Linked DNA regions of Rattus norvegicus. The protein of the gene in region 5 interacts with the protein of the main gene of each other region in a pairwise test. Links are inferred from orthologs where the notes say so. Each region holds a gene or a part of one and is shown on either strand. Other genes may lie near its edges. The genes, in order: Dusp19, Poldip2, Cdc73, Lonrf1, Alas1 and Zmat1.

What was found.
Region 1: the proteins of Alas1 (region 5) and Dusp19 interact in a two-hybrid assay, tested with the Homo sapiens proteins (3 studies listed by BioGRID and IntAct). The two-hybrid records come from large-scale screens. The link is inferred for Rattus norvegicus from reciprocal best matches to the Homo sapiens genes ALAS1 and DUSP19.
Region 2: the proteins of Alas1 (region 5) and Poldip2 interact in binary tests that used the Homo sapiens proteins (3 or more experiments, as listed by UniProt). The two-hybrid records come from large-scale screens. The link is inferred for Rattus norvegicus from reciprocal best matches to the Homo sapiens genes ALAS1 and POLDIP2.
Region 3: the proteins of Alas1 (region 5) and Cdc73 interact in a two-hybrid assay, tested with the Homo sapiens proteins (3 studies listed by BioGRID and IntAct). The two-hybrid records come from large-scale screens. The link is inferred for Rattus norvegicus from reciprocal best matches to the Homo sapiens genes ALAS1 and CDC73.
Region 4: the proteins of Alas1 (region 5) and Lonrf1 interact in binary tests that used the Homo sapiens proteins (3 or more experiments, as listed by UniProt). The two-hybrid records come from large-scale screens. The link is inferred for Rattus norvegicus from reciprocal best matches to the Homo sapiens genes ALAS1 and LONRF1.
Region 6: the proteins of Alas1 (region 5) and Zmat1 interact in a two-hybrid assay, tested with the Homo sapiens proteins (2 studies listed by BioGRID). The two-hybrid records come from large-scale screens. The link is inferred for Rattus norvegicus from reciprocal best matches to the Homo sapiens genes ALAS1 and ZMAT1.

The regions. Positions count from the first base shown.
Region 1 is NC_086021.1:85,944,059-85,948,102, forward strand, and holds the start of Dusp19 (dual specificity protein phosphatase 19), read left to right. Parts: upstream 1-1,244; 5' UTR 1,245-1,402; coding exon 1,403-1,625; intron 1,626-4,044.
Region 2 is NC_086028.1:63,908,287-63,911,786, reverse strand, and holds part of Poldip2 (polymerase delta-interacting protein 2), read right to left. Parts: coding exon 3,490-3,500; intron 1,535-3,489; coding exon 1,438-1,534; intron 1,277-1,437; coding exon 1,201-1,276; intron 993-1,200; coding exon 885-992; intron 811-884; coding exon 674-810; intron 1-673. UniProt on the Homo sapiens protein: Involved in DNA damage tolerance by regulating translesion synthesis (TLS) of templates carrying DNA damage lesions such as 8oxoG and abasic sites.
Region 3 is NC_086031.1:57,997,232-58,001,495, forward strand, and holds the start of Cdc73 (parafibromin), read right to left. Parts: upstream 2,801-4,264; 5' UTR 2,614-2,800; coding exon 2,483-2,613; intron 1-2,482.
Region 4 is NC_086034.1:62,686,604-62,690,730, forward strand, and holds the start of Lonrf1 (LON peptidase N-terminal domain and RING finger protein 1), read left to right. Parts: upstream 1-1,327; 5' UTR 1,328-1,341; coding exon 1,342-2,137; intron 2,138-4,127.
Region 5 is NC_086026.1:115,765,843-115,769,817, forward strand, and holds the start of Alas1 (5-aminolevulinate synthase, non-specific, mitochondrial precursor), read right to left. Parts: upstream 2,801-3,975; 5' UTR 2,664-2,800; intron 1,869-2,663; 5' UTR 1,848-1,868; coding exon 1,649-1,847; intron 1-1,648.
Region 6 is NC_086039.1:102,507,699-102,511,650, forward strand, and holds the start of Zmat1 (zinc finger matrin-type protein 1), read right to left. Parts: upstream 2,801-3,952; 5' UTR 2,337-2,800; coding exon 2,075-2,336; intron 1-2,074.

The DNA.
Region 1 (4,044 bases), on a different chromosome or scaffold from region 5:
AGTTCCCCATAGGTATTGTGGGCAGATAACTCCACTTGAAAGAGAAAAACTTTGGTTCCTATGTCAGGTGTCCATAACAAGAAACTAAAAACTGTGTAGTTTAAGCAAGAAAAATTTACTTCTCGTGGTTTGAAGGCCAAGAAGTCCAAAATCAAGGTGCTGGCCTATGCAAGGCTGCTGGTGTGTTTGTTCCCCTTCCTTGACACCCACTTCTCCCAACTTCCTTGCTTAATCCTGCTTTATCTAGGGAAGGAAGAGTTCTCCTTTGTTCTCACAAAACCATTAATCTTGTTATATGTTTTAATATAATATTAATTATCCCCCAGAGATCCTATTTCCAAATATCTGAACACTTGGGCTCCTAATTCCAACTCATTTTGAAGGGGCACAAAAATTCAGCTCATAAACTTACTTTTATGTCAGAATGTTTTGAAAGCAACAAAATGTTTGTATGCACTGAAGAATACATTTTTTCTAAATCTTAAAACGTTATACATTGTACTTAAATTACCTTAAAATTACACTTTAGTAAGGGTTAATAAGGAAAATTTCAGTTGAAGGAATAGTGGTTTCCATTTGCAAAAACCAATCGTCTTTTGCAGGCAGACTCGGCATGCTATTGATCTGTTTGGTAAATGTTTGTTTTCCCAACTACGTATAGAATTACTACCATTCATTCTGTATAAGGCACGGGAAGGTCAGAATACACTTAAATTTTAACTTTTGCTAGTCTGTAGAAACGTATATTTAAAACGACTTTTTAATGTAGATTTTACCCCGTTGGAGCCTCACAAACAGACTGAATGTTTTTATCTAGTGAATGTTTCTTCTAAGAGTAACAGCAGAGAGAAAAAGAGTGAGGCAGAAGGCAGACCCTGTAGCCTTAGGCCTCTGTGAGCCACGGGAGGACTCACAACCGGGTGGGAAAAGGTCTTGGTGACAGCTGCTGTCTTCATTGTCATCTCTGTAACCAGTCGAACAATCCCAGAAAAATCACTGCCCTTAGAAAGCTACGAGATATCAGCTCTCTGTAAATGAGTCTCAAAAATGACTATTCCCCCCGGGTCCAAAATAAAGCTAGGATTAAAAACCGTGAGTAAAAACAGGATACGGTAAGAAGATTCTGAATGGATCCGGAAGGCATAAGACTTCCGTCAGCGGATGAGAAATAGCATCCAATCGGCGCCCGTTTCTTAGCGGCCAATCAGCTCTCGCCTTACAACGGTGTTCGGGACAGCGGTGCTGGGCTGCTCTCTTCTCTCCAGGAGGTGAGGTTGTCACTGCAGGGGCCAGCTCCGCTAAGTGACTAGTGGCTGACTAGCCCTGCAGCGTGCAGTGCCTTCCCCCCCCTTCTTTCTTTCTTTTTTTTTTTCCTTGCTGCTTTTCCTCCTTCGCTCATGTAATGCACTCCCTGAACCAAGAAATCAAAGCATTCTCCCGGGATAATCTCAGGAAGCAGTGCACCAGGGTGACCACGCTAACTGGAAAGAAACTTATAGAAACTTGGAAAGATGCCACAGTTCATGTTGTGGAAACAGAGACCAGCGGTGGGGGTGGTTGTGGCTATGTGCAGGACCTTACCTTGGACCTGCAAGTTGGCGTTATTAAGCCCTGGTTGCTTCTGGGTGAGTAAACTGACTTGCCACTACGTTGTGGAGAACTGGATTCCTTCATCAGCAGACTCCCCTGTGCATACCAATCCCCTATGCACAATAATATTATCAGCTATCCTGATGAAGAGTTGAAATGCTTACTTTTTGTAAGTTAGGAAAAAGTAGGGACCTGTCTGCCCTCACAATTCTTCTAAAAACACCAGATGATTGAGTTTTAGAAGAAATATTCCTCTATTTTTCTAACCTTCTTTAAAGGATAATGGGATGTTGTATTTTCTTGTATTATAGAAAAGACTATATCCTTTAAAAGATGCAGTAATAACAAGTGGTTCCATGGTTGTGGAAACGACATTGAAAGCGTGTTTCCTACGGCTGCCTCTGCTCATGGTGGCTGTCTTTGGGTGTTAAAAACAAGACTTCTACTTCATAGCTATGAGCCTGGTGGTGTTCTTTAGAAACCAGCCTATTCCATAAGTCTGCATTGCTTTGCATTTATAAATGAGAAATTAACACTTGGACACAGGAGTTAGACATACCCACAGGATTAGCTATACACAGTATATAATTGTTATAACGATCTTCAAGTAGGAATTATCTTCATATTACAAATAGGAATTGGGCATTAAGATTGGGGAAGTAATTTGTGAAGGCAATAGAGTCAGTAAATAGCAGAGTTGTCCAGGGGATTAGGTCCAAGTCTGACTGACTCTGCACACTATCATAGTACTACATTGTTTAAGGTTAAACTTACGGGCCGGGGAGATGGCTCAGTGGTTAAGAGCACTGACTGTGCTTCCAGAGGTCCTGAGTTCAAATCCCAGCAACCACATGGTGGCTCACAACCGTCTAATGAGATCTGAGGTCTTCTTCTGATCTGTCTGAAGACAGCTACAGAGTACTTATATATAATAAATATGTTTTTAAAAAAAAGGTCAGACTTACATTACATGTTCCAACTTATTTATCCTCTCAAAACTTCCAAAAAACATCTGCTTACAATAATTTTAGTTTTTTTATTTTATTTTATGTGCATGTGTTGCATGTGTGTATGCACGTGTACTGTGTCTTGGAGGTCAGAAGAGCTCATTAGATTTTCTCTAGCTGGGTTCAGATGGTTGTGAACCACCATGAATGCTGGGAACTGAACCTCAGTTCTTTGCAAGAACAACAAGTGCACACAGCCTCTGATCCACCTCTCCAGCTCCTCTCTGCTGTAATTGAAGTGACATCCTATAAGGTTGTTCTGGCATTGTGAATTTTTTTTATTTTTTTATTTTTTGCAAAAACTCAAGTTATACCATGTATCCTAAGAATTGCCATATACACCTTTAGGTTGATTAAATAAATAAGACCATAAATATCGCAGTTTAGGGGAAAATACCATCGTTTAACCAAATGAAAAGCAAAAAGTTAAGTTAATTCTTTGGATGAGCTGGATGGTTCAGATCTTGTATGTTTCTAAGAATGAGAATATGTATATGCAGCCTTTTCTGACCTCCATAGTTGATCACAAACTCTTCTCTGTCATTAGTCTCTCTCTCTCCCTCTCACCCCCTCTTTTCCTTTCTCTCTGTTACATATACAATAAACAGAAAAACGTGAACAGATAAGCAAATACATTCTTTAAAAAAGAGTCTTTTTTTTCCTTTTTTTCGGAGCTGGGGACCGAACCTAGAGCCTTGCGCTTGCTAGGCAAGCACTCTACCACTGAGCTAAATCCTCAACCCAAAAAAGAATTTTAATTGGCTGCAATTATAGCTGTTCCAGAAGCTGAGGCAGGATAATAACTAGTTCAAGGCCTGCCTGGGCTCCAGAGTAACATTGGGTTGAGCAACATAGAGAGAGTGAGTGATAGAGTTCTTGCCTCAACACCACAGACAAATACACCAGACACACAGGGTTTATGTTTATATCAATATAATTTGGTAGTCACTTAGAAAATACAACTGTTTCTGTAATGTAGTCGACCGAGAGAGAGAGAGAGAGAGAGAGAGAGAGAGAGAGAGAGAGAGAGAGAGAGGATTACCAAAGCAATAAGTGTAGGGTGAAAAGGAAAATAATTTCATTTAAGCCATGTTACAATTTTTACTATTTTCTTATACAAACAGAATAGAATAATTAGTTAAAAGATACGTTACTAAACTATTAAACTAAAATTAATTTATCTGAACCTGTTTTCCCACCCCAACACAATTAAAACTTCCTACAGTAGAAAACTGAGAATCACCTTTTAGTCATGAAGCATTTGAAATGGATAGAAGGACAGGCTGGTGAGAGGACAGACAGTTTCTGTACCCACTATCCATATTTACCGAATGCTTGTGGTTTGGAAGTCCAACTTCCAAGTAGGAAGAAGCAGAATACACATTCTGCTTATCAGGTTTAGTAGGGAACCTCTCAGCTTGGAATCACTGTGTACTTGTGGCCCTCA
Region 2 (3,500 bases), on a different chromosome or scaffold from region 5:
CAATCAACATATCTCAAGTGAAGTATTCCTGAAGGCGCAGAGGCTGATGAAGCTGTGACTGGAGCCAGTGATGACTGTGGGAAAACTATGGCCAAGAGCCTCCCTGCATCCTTCCTGTTCTGCCCCCTCTATAATCCTGTCAAAATCAACAGAGCTGGATGCTAGCAGAAATCCACTACAGGGCTCTGTTCTCACCAGTGTCCCTGCCAGCCTGACCTGTCCTCACAGCCCTCTTACTGTCCTGCTCTGACGGATGCTGACATCCCGTGTCTGAGTGAGGAAGTCTTCCATTTATACTTGTATCTGTAGGCCTAGCTTAAAGTGAGGCAAGACACAGATCAGTAAATATCCAGCTATTAAAGATAAAGTGTGACAATCCACACTGATTCAGGCAAGTATGTATGTATTTCTCACAAGAAAGATCTCCTCTATTAGAGGAAAGCTGGCATGAAGGACTACTTTCTGGTCTATGGGTCTATGGTCATGATGCTGGCCATTATCAAGAGGCTACCTCAACCCTACCCTGCATATGCACATGAGCACTTGAAGGCAGAACTGTGGGGGAGGGCTTAGGTTCAGATACACTCCCACTCCCAACACTTTAGTCACATGAGGATACCACACTGAATCTGGGAAGCCCTGAAGGAAGAAGCCCAGGCAGACAGGCACACACCCTCATGCCCATGTAGAAGGGGATGACGGTGACACGGATGCTCTCGGTCGTCTCCCGGTGCACGTCTGAGAGCTCCAGCCATGGGTGATTCTTCTCTTGCCAGGCCCGGAGCGTCTCTCGAGCCACAAAGGGAGGGGCTAGAAGAGACGGCGCATTAGTCCAAACCATGGTCCTGGGCAAGCCACCCACTTCCCCTTTGCTGAGAGACTACCTTTTGTCTGGTCATAGAGAAGGAATCTCTCAAAGAGCTCATGCTGGATGGGAACCTGATCCGTGGAGGTGTAGGGGAGGATGTCTTCATGGCTGACATAGTCCAAGCCTGGCACAGAGACAGAGCTGGTAAGACTCAGACAGCACAAGAATGAAACTGAGAGGAAATACCTTCTGGCCTTGCCCAAGGTAGGCGACCCTGGCATCACAGTTCTCAGTACCATGATCCCTCCCAGCAGATGATAAAACATCAGATTCCACTCCCTCAGACACCAGACCCCTGCTCCTCAGGTACCATTTGGATGCTAACTCCTCACCTGGGATGGCATAGAGGGCCCGGCTGTCATCATGGTTAGCCAAGAAAGTCACAGCTTCTGTCTGAGATCTCTGAGACTAAAGCAAAAGGTGATTCAAAGGTTCCTTAGCTACCACCCAGTCCTGAGGCCTTAAGGCCCAGAGCTGACTTGAGCTCTCTCTGACCCCTCTTTGTCCCTAAAGGAGTAAAATCCTTTCCCATGGAGAGGACCCCAGACCCACACACATTGCTTACTTACTATATGTGGGCAGTCACGGGCATCAATCAGCACTTGATAGTAAGTGTGAGTTTTGCCTTTCACCTCCTTAGAGCCATGGCCAGCAGGGTTCTCTGCTCTGTGGGATGAGAAGCAGCCTAGGTCACCCCAGAGGGGAACAAGCTGCGCTTGGCTCCGTTCATTGCCATCTCCTCTCCTAAATGGCCTGGTTCATGATCTAAAGGGGTTTTGGCATAGGTTGGCTTTTGCTCAACACACCTCCAGCCAGCCTCTCCCTAGTCAGGGCAAACGATGGAATCCCCAGGGCCCCTGCAGTTACCACTCTGGGCACCTCCTTGAAGAGGGCCAGGACAAAAAAGTCCACTTGGTATGTGAGCCCCAAGGCCACGAGAACCTTATACTTCTTTCGCCCCAGGGTTAGCTGTGATTATGTGTGGAACTTCCCTCTTTTTTTTTTTTTTTTTTTTTTTTGGTTCTTTTTTTTCGGAGCTGGGGACCGAACCCAGGGCCTTGCGCTTCCTAGGCAAGCGCTCTACCACTGAGCTAAATCCCCAACCCCGGAACTTCCCTCTTTTAATGTACCTTATTGATGATGTGAGATTAACAGAAAGATTTCCAACTGGACATCAAGAAACCAAGAAGCAGGGCTAGAAAGAGGGCTTAGTGGTTGAGAGCACCAGCTGCTCTTCTAAAGGACCCAAGTTTAGTTTCCAGCACCCACAAGAAGGTCACACAGTTTTTAACTCAAGTTCTGAGGAATCTACACCCTCTTCTGGCCTCCAGGAGCACTGCATGAATGTGGCAAAAAGTCCTGCATGCAGGCAGAACACTAATATACATTCTATAAAATAAAACCCTCAGAAAGGGAGGAACCAAGAAGAGCCTGGTGTGCTGACTCATGCCCTCCCCAGCACTGGTTTGACAAGAGGCAGAGACACAGATCTCTATGTGTTTAGGACAACCAGGGCTATGTAATAAATAATATTTAAGTAAATAAAAAAGTAAGACTAGTAATACTCATAAGGAAGGGGTAGAAGATGGCTGTGTTTAAAGGGCACTGGCTGCTCTAAACCTGGGGAGGACCCAGGTTTGGTTCCCAACACTCACATGGCGGCTCACAACCATCTGTAACTCTAGTCTCAGAGACTCCAGCTCCCTTTTCTGGCCTCCCTGAGCACTGTGCACAGACACATCCAGGCAAAAAGAAATCCATATACACAAAATAAAAACAAATAAATCTTTTTTTTTTTTTAAAGAAAGGAAGTAAAAACAGAAGCAATCCCCTAGAACATCCTCTGGGGTTTGGATTATGAAAAGGGAGAGCAGTAGGAGTTTATAAAAAGGAAGGGCAGACGGGTTCTGGGGAGGCCCAAAGAGACCCCATATACTTAAAACTTTTGTCTCCATGGGGGCGAGTGCCAGAGAAACAGGCTGGAATTATTTCTTTTATTTTAGTTGGCTGGGTTATTTTTTTTTTTCCTATTTGTTTTGTTTTGTTTTTTTTGAAACAGGGTCTCTCTACAAAGCTCTGGCTTTTTTGCTGTCCTTGAACTCACTCTGTAGACCACATTGGCCTTGAACTTACTCTGTAGACCACATTGGCCTTGAACTCACAAAGATCCTTCTGCCTCTGCCTCCCAAGTGCTGGGATTTTTTTTTTCTTTTTTTTTCCGGAACTGGGGACCGAACTGAGGGCCTTGCGCTTGCTAGGCAAGCGCTCTACTACTGAGCTAAATCCCCAGCCCAAATTTTTAAATTTATTTTATTTATATGAGTACACTGTAGCTCTCTTCAGACACACCAGAAGAGGGCATCGGATCCCATTACAGATGGTTGTGAGCCACTATGTGGTTTCTGGGAATTGAACTCAGGACCTCTGGAAGGGCAGTCAGTGCTCCTAACCGCTGAGCCATCTCTCCAGCCCCCCCAAGTGCTGGGATTTAAATGTGTGCAGTACCATGCCTGGCTTGGGGTTATTTCTAAAGACCAAGGGGATGCTGTTTTTACCCCAACTGCATATAGACAAGTCAGGCCACCTGAGGACACCATGAGATAGGACAGAGAAAAACTTACTTTTCTGGAGC
Region 3 (4,264 bases), on a different chromosome or scaffold from region 5:
CAGCTCCAAAAAAAAAGAATAGAAAAAAAAAAAAAAAAAAAAGACAGGCAAGGTCTCATGTATCCCAGCTAGCCTCAACTCTGCTACACAGCTGAGGACAGCATGTACACTCCACCATATTTCTTTGCATGTGGTGTTGGGGATCAAGTGCCGAAACCCATACATACTAAGCAAGCATCACACCAACTGAGCTACATCCTCAATCCCAACTCTAAATATGTATACATATTTTAAAATAAGACTTGAGTTCTGGACTCTGTCAACAGAAAAAATAAAAAAAAAAAAATCCAACCAGCTGCACAATGGAAAGGATTATCATAGAAAACAAACTAGATGAAGGTATTACTAAGGATGCACTTAAAAGATATACATCTTATAATTCTAAAAAAGATACTGCTATACAACATCTTCAACAATACTCTGAAAGTTAAAAGGATGTACTCCAAGGAGATGATCCTTATAACATCTCTCAAACTAAACCAATAAAGCAAAACTAAAATACTGTGATCAAGTAATGTAGTCTTGGGGATACAAGTTCTCTAATGCTAACGCACACACCACTTTGCAATCCCTTCCTTTCTCCTCCATCTACTTATGATGGTTCAACTGTAGGAATCCATTTAAATACAGCTCACTTTATTTTGTCCTAAACCTCCTTTACTAGCCTCTATTATCACTTTTACTCTAAGCAAGTGGTTCTCAGCCCTCCTAATGCTACAACTCTTTAATACAATTCTTCTTGTTCTGGTGACCTCCAACTAAAAAATAATTTTCGTTGCTACTTCGTAACTCTTAACTTTGCTACTGTTATAAATGTACCTATGTTTTCTGATGGCCGTAGGAGACCCCTGTGAGGGTCTTCCCACACTTCCAACCCACAGGTTGAGAACCACTGCTCTGAAGTGATATGTCAAATCATTCATTGTTAATTAATATACAAAGTAATTATCATAAAATAGCAGAAAGCGCTGAATGCATTAAGGGTACTAACTAGTCTTTTAGAGATACACACAGTGAGATGTGAATTCATGTAGAGATATAACTTCTGTTGAAGATTTGATGTTGAAAGTTTTAAATTCCTTCTAAGTTTTACTTTTCACTCCTCTGTACACTCTTGTCAAAGCATGTCCTTCCCAAGTCTCATGTCTTAAGTCTCAAGTCTATAGTCCCCAGCACTGGAAGGCTATCCCACTATCTCACTCAAATTCTTAGCTGTTCTTTAAAGTTTACTCATCTGTTCATTCATTTATTCCAGGCTTTGTAGAATGGACAAAACACACTTTTCTAAATACCGCCCCACCCACAAGTAAACAACTGTTCTCTTCCTATCAGCTAGGAAACATTTCAGATCAACTTAATCTGTTCCACTTTTTCTAGTCAAAATAGCTTAAGGAAGGAACTTTTTTTTTTCCAAGTTAAACTTCTTTTATCCCACGGGTTTTTAAAGAAAAAATATTCATTAAAACCCAATAAAATAATTCTGTGTAACGTATCTGAAACAGTAAAACATGGGAAACTCAAAATGTCACTTAATCAACATTTCAAAAAGGAACTCAGTAAGTCCAAAGAAATCTTAACATTTTCTCGTTTTTAATTGATCATTCATAAAGTCATGAGTACCAAAAGTCTGACTCATGATTCTAATTATCAAAGAGAAGCATCAATGGCAGTATCATGATTAAAGGGGACCCAAAGGATTATCTTTGATTATTAACTTGATACTCTGTGATTTCCTCAACGACTTAAGTTCATGGCATCCACGAATCAACCTTCCCAAACGCTTCGTTTTTCTTTGAAAGCGCTTTTTGAAAAGCACATAGGATCAATTTCTCAGACCCGTATGTAAAACTCACTGCATTTCACCAATAACTTTCTCCCCAACAAAGTCTTGCTTTCCTCTCCAATACTGATGTTTGCAGACTTCCAAACTCTCCCATCTTTCCTAAACTGTAAGGAGTACTTGTCTATTCCCTCTTTTTTAATATCAGCCTCCCCTATTATGAAAAAAAGAAAAGAAAATTACCGGGACGCTCGAAGAGCCAGAGGAGACAGTTGCAACACATGGCAGCCTCTGGGAGATTACAAAAAACAACTAAGAACAAAAAGCGACTCGGTGGACGCCAGATGCTGGGATCGATGTCTGCTTCTATACCTCCGTTCAGGTAGACGTGCAGCAGCCCTACACAGCGCGGACAACCTGTACATACTGAACACCGACTGGCAAGTCGGAAACTCCCATGGTACCTTTCCCCTTGGCTTCTCCAACACAGAAAAGACTTGACCGCTCTAGAATCCGCTCCACTTCTTCCCTCCTCACCCTAAAAGTACAACTTCTGCTCCAGAGAATAACTTTTTCCCAGAGCACCCATATTTTCCTCTCATCCCCGAGGGACTCCGGAGGAGGAGGGCTTAAGGGAAGAGGTCGCCCGGGGGCGCCCGACGCTGCCCGGCCACCACTAGGCCAAAGCCATGCCGCACTTACCCCCAAACTACATAGTTGGTCTTCACATTCTTGGGCCAGGAGAACTCCCCGAAGATCACTTCATCCCCCTTGACCACAATCTCCTTCTTCTGGATGTTGTACTGTCGCAGGACGCTGAGCACGTCCGCCATCTTCGCCCCCCTCGCTGCTACAGCCGCCGCCGCCGCGGGCCCCGGGCACCGCCGTCGCCGCCGCGCCCGCCGCCTCCTTTCCCCGTCGCCTCGCCCTCTTCCCCCGCCGCCGCCGCCGCGAACCAACAGCCACCACACTAACAGCCGTCCGCGTCTACGACAGCAGCACGGGCAGAAGCCACCCAGGCCGCCAAGGACCCCGCGCTATATAAGGCAAGGCCCCGCCGCGGGCTGCCCGCGGAGAACGCCTGACTGACCCACGCTCCGCCAGGGCCGCGGGCCGCCGCCAGGGGGCGCCGCGGCCGCCCGAGCAGACGCGCCTCCCAGACGCCCGCGGGGCACGCCGCCGACTCTGGGAAACCGGGAGCCAGCCTGGGCGCTCCCGGGGTGCTGAGCCTTAGCGGAATCGCGCCCGGCGCGGGTTCCGAGGCGAGCGACAGGTGCGCGCGCACCTGCTGGGCGCTTCCGCACTTTCGATCCCAGAGCGCGCACTGGGTGATTTACTTTCCCTGCGCCAGGCTTCGCTTCCCTGTGTTGAAGGCTTCCCCCTCTTTCTGCCTTCATCTGAGCCGCACTCAGCGAAATAGGTCCCCGTGGGCAGGATAAGCTACTAGGGAAAGCTTGAACTTTGGAATGTGGACGTTTTCAAGTTAAGGCTAGGTTTTCATTAGGAGTAGATTTGCAAAGAGGAAAAGAAGAGTTAGGTGAAGAACAATTCTGGAACCGTTTGTTAGTCGCTGGTCTCCTAACATCGATTGATTGGTGAACGGAGTAAAATTAATATGAGAATAAGTTGAAAGCATCCTAACGCGTCGACGAAATACAATTCATTGTTGACCACCCCCTCCCCCACGCCGCCTCTTTCCTTGGAAACAACTTTTTTCCATCCCGGCAACGGCAGCTTCTCCCGGGTAACCGCCCCCCGCCCCAAAAAAAGCCTCAAATGATTCCAGGTTGTGAGTGGAAGAAATACTAAACATCAAACCTCAAAAGGTTTACCGGTGACTTTATGTTAGGGGAACCTAGAATTCTGATACTTTACATGGCCTGTGTAACTTAAACATACACTTCAAGCCTAATATTTCTTTTTCACTCTTGGTGAGAAGGAGGCACACTTTGTTACTTATAAAACCAAATACTTTGATCTATTGGGTTTTGGGGGGGGGGGCATGAACTTTTGTTATGTGTGGCAAAGAGTTCTCCGGGTATGGATGTATGAGGTTAAAAGAATGTCTGCCTCACAAACGGTTTTCTCCCTTCAATGTGTCTCTGAACCTCACGGCAAATGCGGCTTATAAAGAACTGACTTTGCTCGACTGTCCCTTTCACATCTGGACTTATACCTATATATCACAGTACCCAGTATTTCCTTGTCCCCTTTATTTGCTTGCCTACCTCCTAGGAAATGAAACGACTGTATGACATGTAGTACATCTTGGTCGTCTGCACTGTACTTGATACAGTAACAACACCTAGAAAATATTGAGTTAGTAAGTGAAAAGATAAAGTCTCCTAGTAAAGTTTGAGGTAATAAGTGCATTATAGGTTTCAAGACGAGTTAAGAAAGTCAACAATAGTTTTTATGAATTTTATTTTATATACAAATCATTTCCAACCAATTTCTCTTTTTGATTAATTTATGTCTTTAAGG
Region 4 (4,127 bases), on a different chromosome or scaffold from region 5:
TGCTCATTGTTTAGTATAAAGACACTTTTGAACTGTTATTACCTATTCTGTGTAAGCAGGAACAATTAATTGTTAGACAATTTTAGACAGCATGACCTTTGACATTCCATCCAATTGCTTTATTTGAAGATCTCTGGTTAAAAATATTTGAAGATAATTTTATTAAACATTATATATATATATATATATATGATACTATCACTGTGAGATCTTAAAATCTTTTCAATACTGACTGTATGATTTCAGACTGAATTATTTCCTGTTATCAAGTATTTGAAAAAGAAGCCTTAAATCTCTTCCTACATTACCAACCCAGTACTCTGTAATCAAGTCTATAAATATTTCCATTGAGATACCTGATGCTTTCACATTTAGAGGAACTAGAACCCATTACATATGAGCCAAACTATCTTCAATCGACCAAGCTGCAGAACGCTTGCATCGTGGTGATCTGGTTTCTGCCACAGCGAAAATGTTTTTCTCCTGTTTTCTCATTTAAAAAACTTTAAGCAACTGTGGGTTAGTGTGTATGAAGGATGTGGAGCACACCTGAGGACATGGGGACTTTCACTCTCTAAGTGTACATGTGGTTTATTTAATAGTTTAATGTTTTTTGGTGTATTGCACTTTTAAAATTAAAGTTTACAAATCGCTCACAAAGTATTGGGTTTCTTTTGGACAGTTCGTTTCTGTCATTTTCTCTTAATAAACTTCATCACAAGTCAGCACTAACCAAGCACCAAGAAAAACTCTTGCGTGCTGGGAGGAAGTGGTCTCAGTAACATGAAATATGTGTGTCTAGAGTTGGCCGATTTCAGATTTGAGTCTCAAAGTAATCACACCGTGCATGTGCATTCGCAGTCCCTCTACTTGTTCTGGCCAGCAGAAACCCTGGGCATCCAGACCCACCCAAGGCTTCCATCTACGGCCAGGAGGGGTCTAAGTATCTACTCATGTGCGGCAGGTTTGGGGTCACAGCACTGCTGGTGCCCACACGAACAGCATAGCACCCACTATAGGCCTGGGGACCAGCCACGATTACAAGAGGTGTCAGCTCGCAGGCCGCCTGGGAGACTTCAGGCTTTGTTCAGTCAGGAGCCAAGCCTCCTTGTCAGAGAAGCCAATTAGATCCCCGCTGGGGATCATCTGATCTCGCGTCCCTCACCAGGAGGGGCTCAGAAAGGGTGGGACAGGCCGGCCAGCTCTCCGGTACTGGGCGGCCGGCCGCGTGTCGGGAGGCCGGGCGCGGAAGCCAAGGCCCGCCCCTCTCCGTCTCGCTAAGCTCCGCCCCTCTCCCCAGGCCCCGCCCCTAGGGGCTCCCCGGGCGCGCGCCGCCCCGCCATGTCCGCGCGCCACGCCCCCCTGCTCGCCGGCCGCGTGCGGAGCCGCGCGCCCCGGAGGTTCCCGGACCGTGGCGGCGGGCGGCGACGGAGGAGCAGCCCTGCGCGGGCCATGTCTTCTCCGGCCGTGGCGAGGGCGTCCCCGGGCGGGAATCGGGAGACGGCCGGCGGACCGCGGAGCCGGAACGGGCCGTGGGAAGTGGGCGGCGGCGAGCGGTTGGAGCGCGCGGGCGCGGAGCCGGGGCGCTGGGAGCTTCTGCTCCGCCGCGGCGAGCTGCTGGCGCTGGGCGGCCACCTGAAGGGAGCGCTGGAGGCGTTCGCGGCTGCGCTGCGCCGCGGGGCCCCGGCCAGGCCCGAGCGCCTCGGTTCGCTAGTGGACTGCCTGGTGTTCAGCTACCGGCTCCGTCACGGGCTGCGCTGGAGCGCGGCACCCGCCGCGGGCGCGGCCGGGCTGCTCAGCTGCCTGGGCTGCCGGGGCTTCCTAAGTGAGCCGGTGACCGTGCCGTGCGGCCACAGCTACTGTCGCCGTTGCCTACGGAGGGAACTGCGCGCCCGCTGCCGCCTGTGCCGGGACCGTCTGCCACCCGCCGCCGCCGCCTCCGAGGGGACCCCGCGGCCGCCGCCCCTGGCCGCCGCCATCGCCGACTTCCGAACCAGCGTCGTGCTCAACCACCTGGCGGAGAAGTGGTTCCCGGGCCAGCGCGAGCGCGCGCGGGCGGCCGGCCGCCTCGGGGAGCTACTACACGAAGGACGCTACCGGGAGGCCCTGGCCGCCGCCTGCGACGCTCTGCGAGCAGGTGATGCGGGGCTGCGGTGCGGGACTGGCGAGCGGGGATTGCGAGTGTGGGAGGGGGCGGCGCCCCGGGGTGCTTCGGTCACGGTGGGGATCGCCTGGGAGCCTCAAGTGACGCGGCGCAGGGAGGGGCGCGGATGCGAGGTTCCCTCGTGCGCGCGCCGAGCGGGGACCTGGGGCGGCGGAGCTTGGGCGCGGGGTGGGTGGGGGCCACAGGCTTCCCTCTGTGAGCTGGCTGGGAACCCCAGCCGGGGTGGGGCGAGCATCCCCGGGCTTGGCGGGGCTTGGGGGTACCGCGTCTACCTTGGTCATGCACTAAAGTCACCGGGGCAATTAGAAGCCGCGGGAGGGCAGAATTGCATAAGCTGGGTGGGGGGGCGTTGTGTAACGGGTGACGTTCGGTGGGCGTGGCGGGAGCCCGGCGCGGGCACCGGCACCCGGAGGCCCAGCGGCGGCCCAGCTCTGAGTTGGTGACCGGTTGCCCGCGAGGTGGTCACCTCTTCTTACCTAAAGGATCGCTTGCTCCAGGAACCTCCACCTGCCTATCTCACATTCTGCTTCCTTGGACCTCTGTGCGTGCTCCCACACATTCCTGGTGTTGGTAGAGAAGTAGCCTCCTATGACGAGTTTGCCTTACTCAGTGTAGACCTGTGAGGGGAAGCTTTGTAGGTCTTTTGCTTATATCCAAGAACAGCGTTGTCCAGTTTACTGGAGATGGCTTTTAGACTGCGGATAAAGGGGTCATTGTAAACTTAGTAAAGCCAAGAGTTCTTTAAATCCTCGAACTCGGTTGTTCTCTACTGAGGTGGTGGTGGTACTTACCTCCTAGAGATTTTTACATCAGGGACCCTTATCTAGTAAAGCATCTAGAGACATCTTTGAATGGCCACCTCTTGTAGAAGTCCTGTCAGTACAGACATCTAGTGGCCCGTCCAAGGATGTTGCTAAACATTCCTAAGCTCACAGCCACCTACGTGAAAGACTGATCAAGCCCAAATGTCAACTGTATCATAGTTGGTCACCTGGTGTTGGGCATGCTTTGTGTGTCTGTGGGCTGCCATGAGAAATTACATACAGTATTAATCCCCAGGAAATGAGTGACATTGGGAATTTGAACTGATTTTAGGTATTAGGTAAGTTATAAACTTGTAACTGAAATTATTACTTTGACTCTTTTAGTCATACTGAGGAAGTTGACAGTAGCTTCAGGCATACCCTTCTGGCACGTTTTCATCCTCTTCTGGCAGCTTCATGAGCAGGCACTCATAAACTAAAACGACAAACCCAGAGTGATAGAACACTTGGGGATGCACAGTTCTGCTGGGGATGACTCTGGATATCTGGGTGGATAAAGTTGAGTGGGGGAAGCTGGACCTGACTGATCATCCAGTATCAGGCTTCTGTCAGACCTTAAGGAGGAAGCAGAGACAGGGCAGGTGACTTAACAACAGTCACTTGGGTGGTGGCTTGTATAGGCAGCTTAGACCCTCCACTTCCCAACATTCTCTGCCCAGCATTGAGATCCTCGGGTCTACCAGGATATCATCTTGAACAGAAAAGGCTGCGAATGATGAATTCTGTCGCTTCCAAGCTTCATAGACCGCATGTGAGATTTGCCCACAGGCCACATAACCACACTTTTTTCAAGACTCGAATTCAAGTCTCTGGCCTTTCACTTTATTATGTTATAGGGTTTTTTTTTTCCTTATTCATAGGCTTGTCAGAAAAATCAGTAATTCTCCACCCGAATATGCATCTCAATGATACTAATGATGATATTTTTTTCTCTTGAATTCTTTGTGCGAGATAAAAAGAGAACAATTAAAGAGCCAAACATATTTTAGTTGGTCGGGGGCAAATGTGTATGTGTTTCATAATTTATGGGCATTAATAAGAGTGGGCGGATAGCTCAGGGGTAGCAAGCTCGCCTGGCATGCGCAGCGTTCTGCTTTGTATCCCTAGCCTTCCAAACAACCCACCACAGTGTGTCAGTT
Region 5 (3,975 bases):
GAGAGATGGCTCAGCGGCTAAGAGCACTGACTGCTCTTCCAGAGGTCCTGAGTTCAAATCCCAGCAACCACATGGTGGTTCACAGCCATCTGTAATGGGATCTGATGCCCTCTTCTGGTGTGTCTGGAGACAGTGACAGTGCACTCATATATATTAAATAAATAAATCTTAAAAAGAAAAAAGAAAGAAAGAAAGAAAGAGAGAGAAAGAGAGAAAGAAAGGAAAAACAGGCTGTCCCTTAGATCTTCAAACTGTCCCCAAACTACCAGGGCTATTAAAAGGCGTAGGCAGGTTGGATTCACAGAGGGCTCACCTCACCTACTTTCTCATCGAAGTTCAAAGGAAGCTGCTGACCCAGCACAGCAGGCTGGCTTTGCGCTCTAAGTTACAGTCACTCCTTGAGCCCTTGAGCAATGTGCTCACCTTCCTTCTAGAAAAGTCTTCCTTCATCATATTGGAATACTCCCATGAGTCACTGGCTGCTCTTTCTACAACTTGGATAAGGTGTCTCAATACAGTTTCCATAACATTTTCTATAAAGACAAGTCAAGAAATGGTATTTTGAAACTAACTTGATTTTTTTTTTTTAACAAGGATTGCAGATCTGTTATGGAAAGTCTAGAACAATGGAAGGGAAAAGGAGCATTCTACCTCAAAACATGGCCACCACAGACATTCTGAGAAAAGACAATTAACTCCTGGCAGGAAAGTCCTGCCCACTAGAAGAACAAACAGTCCTTCGACACACCGAAGAGAAGCCTGAAAGATGAAGGGCTCACCAGGAAGGAGTAAGTGGCCTTGAGAAGCCCGCCACCTGTACGGGGCAGGTCCATGCCCTGACAAACACTAACAAACACCGTGCCTCACTTACGTAAGGCAACTGGCCCAGTGGTAGAGTGGTGGCTGCCAGGCACTGGGGGAAGGAGTATGGGAGTTAATGTTTAATGGCCGCCCTTTTCAGTTTGGGAAGATGAAGAAAGTTCAGGAATTGGATGGTGGTGGCAGAACAACACGGGTGTATGCAATACTGTGAGTCACACGCTGCACTGATTAACACGGGCATGGTAACTGAGGTGGTGCATGCTTACAATTAAGGCTGAGGCAGGAGGATTGCCGTAAGTTGGAGGGCAATCTGGCTATATTATGAGACTCTGATTAAAAAAAAAAAAAAACTAAACTAAAATGGTAATATTATACACACACACACACACACACACACACACATATATATATATATATATATATATATATATATATATATATATATAGTTTGTTTGTTTTGCTTGAAGGGGAAAACGACAGTGGCTCACAAGTCTGTGACTCCCTCTTCTGGCCCCCTGGACCAAAGGAACGAACTAACAGTGGTAACTCAGGCCTGTGGTATCAGCGCTTGGGAGGCTGAGGTGAGGTCCTGACTTCATGGCCAGCCTAGACTACACAGTGAGTTCTGGGATAGCCTAGGACACAGAGTGAGATGCTCCCTCAAGATACTAGACAGATTTTTAGCCCCTAACTCAGGAGTCAGAGGGACAGTTCCACAAGATGACCCCCCCGCTCCCCATACACAAGGGTTGATCCTGATGGAGTAAGGCTCCCTCAGAGTGGCCTTCACCACCAAGGACATCTTCCCTCACTGCCAACTACTTACTCTCATTGGCTGGAGGGGTTTCTTTGACCTGCTGGCACTGTGCTGCTGAAGTGGACACGGTCCGAGGAGCCGGCTTGGCCCCGACTTCCATCATCTTGGGGCAGTTTTGAGCATAGAACAGCAGAGATTTCCCTGCCTTCTGCAGAAAGGCCTGAGGGACTCGGGATAAGAATGGGCATCTGCGAACGACAGTCTCCATGTCTGCAAAGTGTCCCGGGTCCTGTACAAGAGTCCATGATGAGTGACATTAAGGGAGGCCCAGACACACATCCCACTCAAAACCAAACCAAACCAAACCAAACTAAGGACAGCAACCAACAGAGCTCAGTAAAGGCATGGGAGCCACACTCTACCCAGGTCACCAACTTCTACATTCTCTACTTCTAGAGAAACCCTCCCATCCCCTAAGCAACTTTACCAGAGTAAGTAGGGACGACCAATAACTAAGGATGTAGAGATGAAGAACAAGGCAGAACTGGTGTCGGAGGCCAGAGGCTCCTTGAAGGGTGTACACTGTAGGTTAAGACACTTTAGCACACACCCAGGAGCAATAGCAAGGCCAGGGGAAAAGTCACTGTCACCTATCCAGCTAGGGAGGACTCCCTGGGATCCTAGCAACCCCAGGAAGGGGGAAGAGTCTAGACCAGCCCTGAGTCCCCGAGACAAGGTCATGTCCCTACAGCTAGAACAGGGAAAGGAGGCAGAAAGAAGGGTAAGGGCAGGGCTGACTCGGTCAGGAGCAGGGCTAGACAATGCAGAGCCTGACTGGTGGAAGGGGGTCAGCAGTGAGTCAGAGGTTCTCTGGGGTCAGAATGGAAAGGGTAAGAAAGAAGTTCTGAAGGCGCCTGTCAAAACGCCGAATGTCAGAAGGGCACGTAGTGGGGCGTCTGAGGTAGCCCAAGAGGTAAAGAGGGGGGATGAACGCTGAGCCAAGGTGGTGCCCGGAGGGGGATGGGCATGTGGCCGCGGTGGCGGGGCGCGCCGGGTTCCCGCGACCACCGAGCGTGGCCCTCACCTGCGCGGGCTCTCGACGAGACGGCGGTGGGCACTCGAGCGGAGGACGCTAAACCGACCAGTGCCCTTCTTCACGAACAGCCTCGGCTAGGGCCGCTGTTGGCCTAATATAGAGCCGGGGGTGACCGCTGCGCATGCGCTGTGGGTGCGGCCTGCCGCGCGCACGCGCACCGGAGTCGGCCCGGCAGGGTGCCAGGTCCCTCTGTGTGGGCTCTGCTCCAACTCTTGTGACTATGTCTTAGGCCTACGCTGCCTGAGCCAGGAGAGCAGGGCAGTGGACGGGCAAGTCCCTTTTTGGATCTCTACCCTTCGTCCCTCTTTCACCTTCCACGAACAGCCCTGTGCGTCAGACTCCTGGGCCCCCGGCGTAGGTCGTAAACCAAACCCACCCTGGTAAAAAGGTTTATTGGGCGCACAGGAAGGGGTTTCACGCCAGGGTCTTAAGATCAGATCAACGAGGGGCTTGCTTGGTTTTGTTTGCATCGATGACAGGGATTCTTTACTTGATGAATGGCCCAAGAATAGAATGGTCCTGGTGAAGAGATGCTAAGGGGCTGCAGACACGGGATTGAAGAAGCAGCCGCAGAAGGGTGATACGTTCTGATCCGAATTGAAGAAAAGAGAGAGCAGGGAACAGAGGAACTGACTAGATGGAGCTCATAGCTCCACAGTTCTAGTCACCCAGATGGTGAGGGTGTCATGACAGCACAGGGCCTGACACAGGATTGAACAGCTAAATTATCTTGTTTTTTAATTTGAGACAAGGTCTCATGTAGTCACACCATACTGTCCTCAAAGTTGCTATGTAGCCAACCTTGGAGGCATCCTGTCTCTACCTCCCCAGTGCTGGGATTGCAGGTAGGAGCCGCCATGCCTACAGGATGCAGCACTGAGGATGGAATCTAGGGTCTTCTGCATGCTTGGCAAAGACTACCCTTATTGAACTGCGTCCCTGACCCCGTTTTTGTGTCATTTTGTTGAATCAGGGTCTCACTTTGTGGACCAGGATGGCTTCCAACTTTGCCAGATTCCCGCTTCTGTTTCAAACACTGGGAATCATAACCCGGGCCACAACACTTAATTAGCCCTTGTTTGTGTTTTGTTTTTATACGGAGCATAGTCCAAAGTCCTTGCTGGTTGTAATGCACACCAACTGAGAGGTCTAGCTCTCTGTGTTAATCCAAAAGATGAGAGGAGAAAGACCACTGACCCAAATCATCATGGCCAAATTTATTAAAGCAGGCGAGCAATTAAAGCAAGCTTTTGTTACTTGGATACATAGGCTGCCTTCCCCTAAGGCGCTGACTGAGAGG
Region 6 (3,952 bases), on a different chromosome or scaffold from region 5:
AAATTGAATTTATCCTTTACAAACAGCTATGTCATTTTCACTATAGACAGTTAGCATATTTTAACAGATCTCAAAGTCGAATTAAGTAAGCTAGAATTGTCTTCAGATTGTAGCAGATGCTGCTTGTTGAAATTACTCATCCTAAAATTACCAAAAAGTGAAAGACTAGCTGGAGTTAGTTTTAGTAGAATAGAAATACTGTCACTTTGCTGATGGAAGTCACCACTTTCCCTTATGTTTTTCTAGTGCTCTTAGACAGTCCTATGGTTAGTCAGAGAATATTCATGAATCCTCTGGCCAGGACAACTTTGTACATATTGTTCCCTCATTTCAGAGAGTAATTCTCTGATGTTTTTACTTTGCCTTGCCCACTTTGACCCTGGAAGAAATGCTGACTCTACCTGACTACCTTCTTGACGTGTCTCTCTGTGCTTGTGGCCAGGTTTGCTCCATTCCACATAGCTTACAGTTCTGTCTTTTCCTTCTAATTTGGTGTTTTACCTGGGATTTGGCTTCTAATTTGGTGTTTTACCTGGGATTTAGTTTGCATGTAAATTCATGCTTCTAGCTGCTTCCAAGTCCTGACAAGCAGATATTACATACATTGCCTAGGCTTTTGACTTCTAACGTGATTTATTCTGTTTCATATCTATAGGTATCCATCATATTCAAGAGATACAAATTCTGAGGACACAGAATGTTCTCTTAAAGCATAGAAAATTATTGTTTGATTATTTAATAAGCATACTTAAGTTATGTGTGCATAGGCAATCTGGATGAGACTGCTGTCAAATAAATAGCAGAATACAGCAAATTTAATCTTAAAGGTCTTTAAGCGGCTTTGTGATGCTTGAATCAGGCAATGCTTCGTTTCATGGAGCAAATAAATGCTTCAATGACGTGAACAGAGGATTGGTAAACAAAGAGAAATTGAAGAAAACATACATAAATAACAAACTGGGTTAGCTGTTCCAAGGTCCTTTGACAGAAGATATATAGAGAGAACGAAAGAAAATGCACTGATTTGTTAACTGTCGGTTACTTCAGGTTACTTTGGTGGCTAAAGATTGGAAACAGGGAGGACTTCATTATCATGCCTACTGTAACTGGCCTGTTTGAGAGACTGCACTGTTATCTTTCAGTTTTGGAAGGTCAGATAACTCGCTTCAGTAGGAGTAGCAATATTTTGATATTTATTGTGCTCTGTCAGGGCTTCATGCAAGAGCTTACACTCCAAAACAATGGCCTCCTCTAATTTTTATCTAATATAAAGTAGGACATTTGGCACACATTATAGAGCAGTTTTGAACCAGTATAAAACATGTCTTTCAGATTTTATTGTATCTTGTTTCTCTTATAAGAGAACAGCACTCTTTTTCTTTTCATTTCAGCTCATCCTAAATTCATTTGCAAATTGAGGTCGTTGTTTTAGTTCATCACGTCAAAACAAAGGAATAATAGAACTCCTTAGCCCCTCTTTAAGCAAATGATTACAACTTAAGATGATACCTTTGTTAAGCTCTCAAGATGCCAGAGAAACATTTCTGGAAATTTACATTTTACATAGATGAAGTCTACAGCCTTATAGATTCGTTTACTTTCTAAATGTTGGAGTAAGGGATCTTGGTTAGTTGGGTTTCACAAAGAAAGTCTCTTGGAATTGAAAAATGGTTTATTTACCTTTTATAAATAGAAACATCGCAGTAGCTCTGTTATTCCCAACCTTGGGGAATAACTCAAAGAACAGTTATGGAAGCTGTCTGTAATATATCTGCGAAGGCATCCACCGGACTGAAAAGTCTCAGAAGACCTTATCTGCCTGTCAGATCTTAGCAAAAGTACACCAGCAGAATGTGGGATTGTTCCTAAACTACCTACCTATATAATAGGGACTAAATATTTTTATAAGCTTCCTACTTTCTGCCAATACTAAAGAACCAGTCCATGCTTACAAATCATAAATGTCTGTAACCAAATATTAGAGACTGGCTAGCATCCATATTACTTTTTTCTTCACTGTGAGTGAATACCTAACAGAAACAACTCAAGGGAGGAAAGGTTTAGTTTGGCTTACAGTTTGAGGAGATACGGTTGATCTTGGGAGGGAAGGCTTGGCAGCGAGGACTCCATCCATGGCAGCGGGGGCTCCATCCACGGAAGCGGTGGCTCCGTCCACGGAAGCGAGGACTCCATCCACGGAAGCGAGGGCTCCATCCACGGAAGCGAGGGCTCCATCCACGGAAGCGAGGGCTCCATCCACGGAAGCGAGGGCTCCATCCAGGGTAGCGGGGACTCCATTCTTGGCAGCGGGCCTGTGTTGCAGCTTGTTGATGCATAGCTTGGGCCAGGAAGCAGAGATGAAACTGGAAGCAGGTCCAGGCTACAACTAACCCTCAAGACCTGCCTCCAGTGACGAACTTCCTCAGCCCAGCTCCACCTTCTCAGAGTTTTGGAACCTCCCCAAACAGCACTGCCAGCTAGGGACCAAGTGTTATATTCAAACTGTAGTTTTCCTCCAAAGGTTCATGACTATCTCATAAAACAAATATATTTAGTCCAACTTTAAAAATACCCACAGTCTTATATTCTCAACACCAATATAAGGGGACCAAGATGTTTAAAGTGCAAAGTCTCGGGCAAACTCTAAGTTATAAGTTCTAATTAAAAAAAAAAAAAAATCCAGGCTCTGGAGGGATGGCTCAGTGTTTAAGAGTACATGATGCTTTTGCAGAAGGACCTAAGTTCAGGTCCTGGTACCCATATGGCGGCTCACAACCATCTGTAAACTCCAGTTCTGGTGGATATAACCCCCTCTTTTGGCCTCTGTGGGCAGTGCATGCACCTGCTACATCTACCCACAGGCAAATGCCGATACACATAGAATAAAAGAATTGAAAGAACATAAAAGATCCAAGTTCCATACTTCCAGTGTACAATGGCACAGAATCAACATTCCCATTTCAAAAGTAAGGAGTGGAAGAAGAGGAAGGTAAGAGCAGAGAAAAATAAGACCAGCGCACCTCAGGACAATCATTAATCCCTGCAGCTCTATGTCCAGTATTAGAGTTCACGAGGATACTGTGGAGGCTCTGATGGACTTGGGGAACCTTGGCTCTCCAGCCTTGCTTCCTGGAGTATCCATGTTCTCTCTCCTGCATTGGCTCTACCCAATGTTTTCAACTTTCCTCAGCAGGTGTTTGACCTTTCTAGCATCTCCTGCATCTAAGTGTCTCCATTGCAACTTTGGGTTCTCTTTAACACCTACACACAGCAGCCTATTGGGACCTCGATTCAGAGAATTTGGCTCTGTTACTCATTGCCTAACCTCATAGGATTTTTTCCTCTGAAGTTTTGGGTCAAGACTTCATGGTCACAAAACTATTGATTATACTAACAAGCTTTCCTGCCAGCTTTGTAATGTAGTCTGGCCCTGGTGCACATTAGCTCTAGTGGCCTCCAAGTACTTGAATGGCCAAACCAGGGAAAACATTTCCCCATTTCATCAGGGTACCCTAAGGTTCTTCCCTTTTCACACATTCTGCTTTTATATATTTATTTTTAATTTGTGGATAAGGTGGAGTGGGGCATGGGCATGTGGATGCTCATGGAAATCGGAAGAAGACACTGATCTCCTGGAACTGGAGTAATAGAGGGTGTGAACCACACAGGCCCCTTGCAAGAATACTGTGTGATATTAGCTACTGAGACATCACTCCAGTTTTAGCAGTCTAGTTTTAAATCCAGGTTTCAAAGTGAGTTTGTATTGTTGTACCTTGGAGCTGTGGGTGGTTGGGAGCTTATCCTGAAGGCACTAATCTCACTGTTCTAGTGAATTTTTTGTGGTTGCTTTTTAACGATACCAATTCCTTTAACAATTGTACTCACTGTATACACAGCATGTCTACTATTTTAAGTATGTTCATACACCTTTATTTACTAAACAGTATAATTT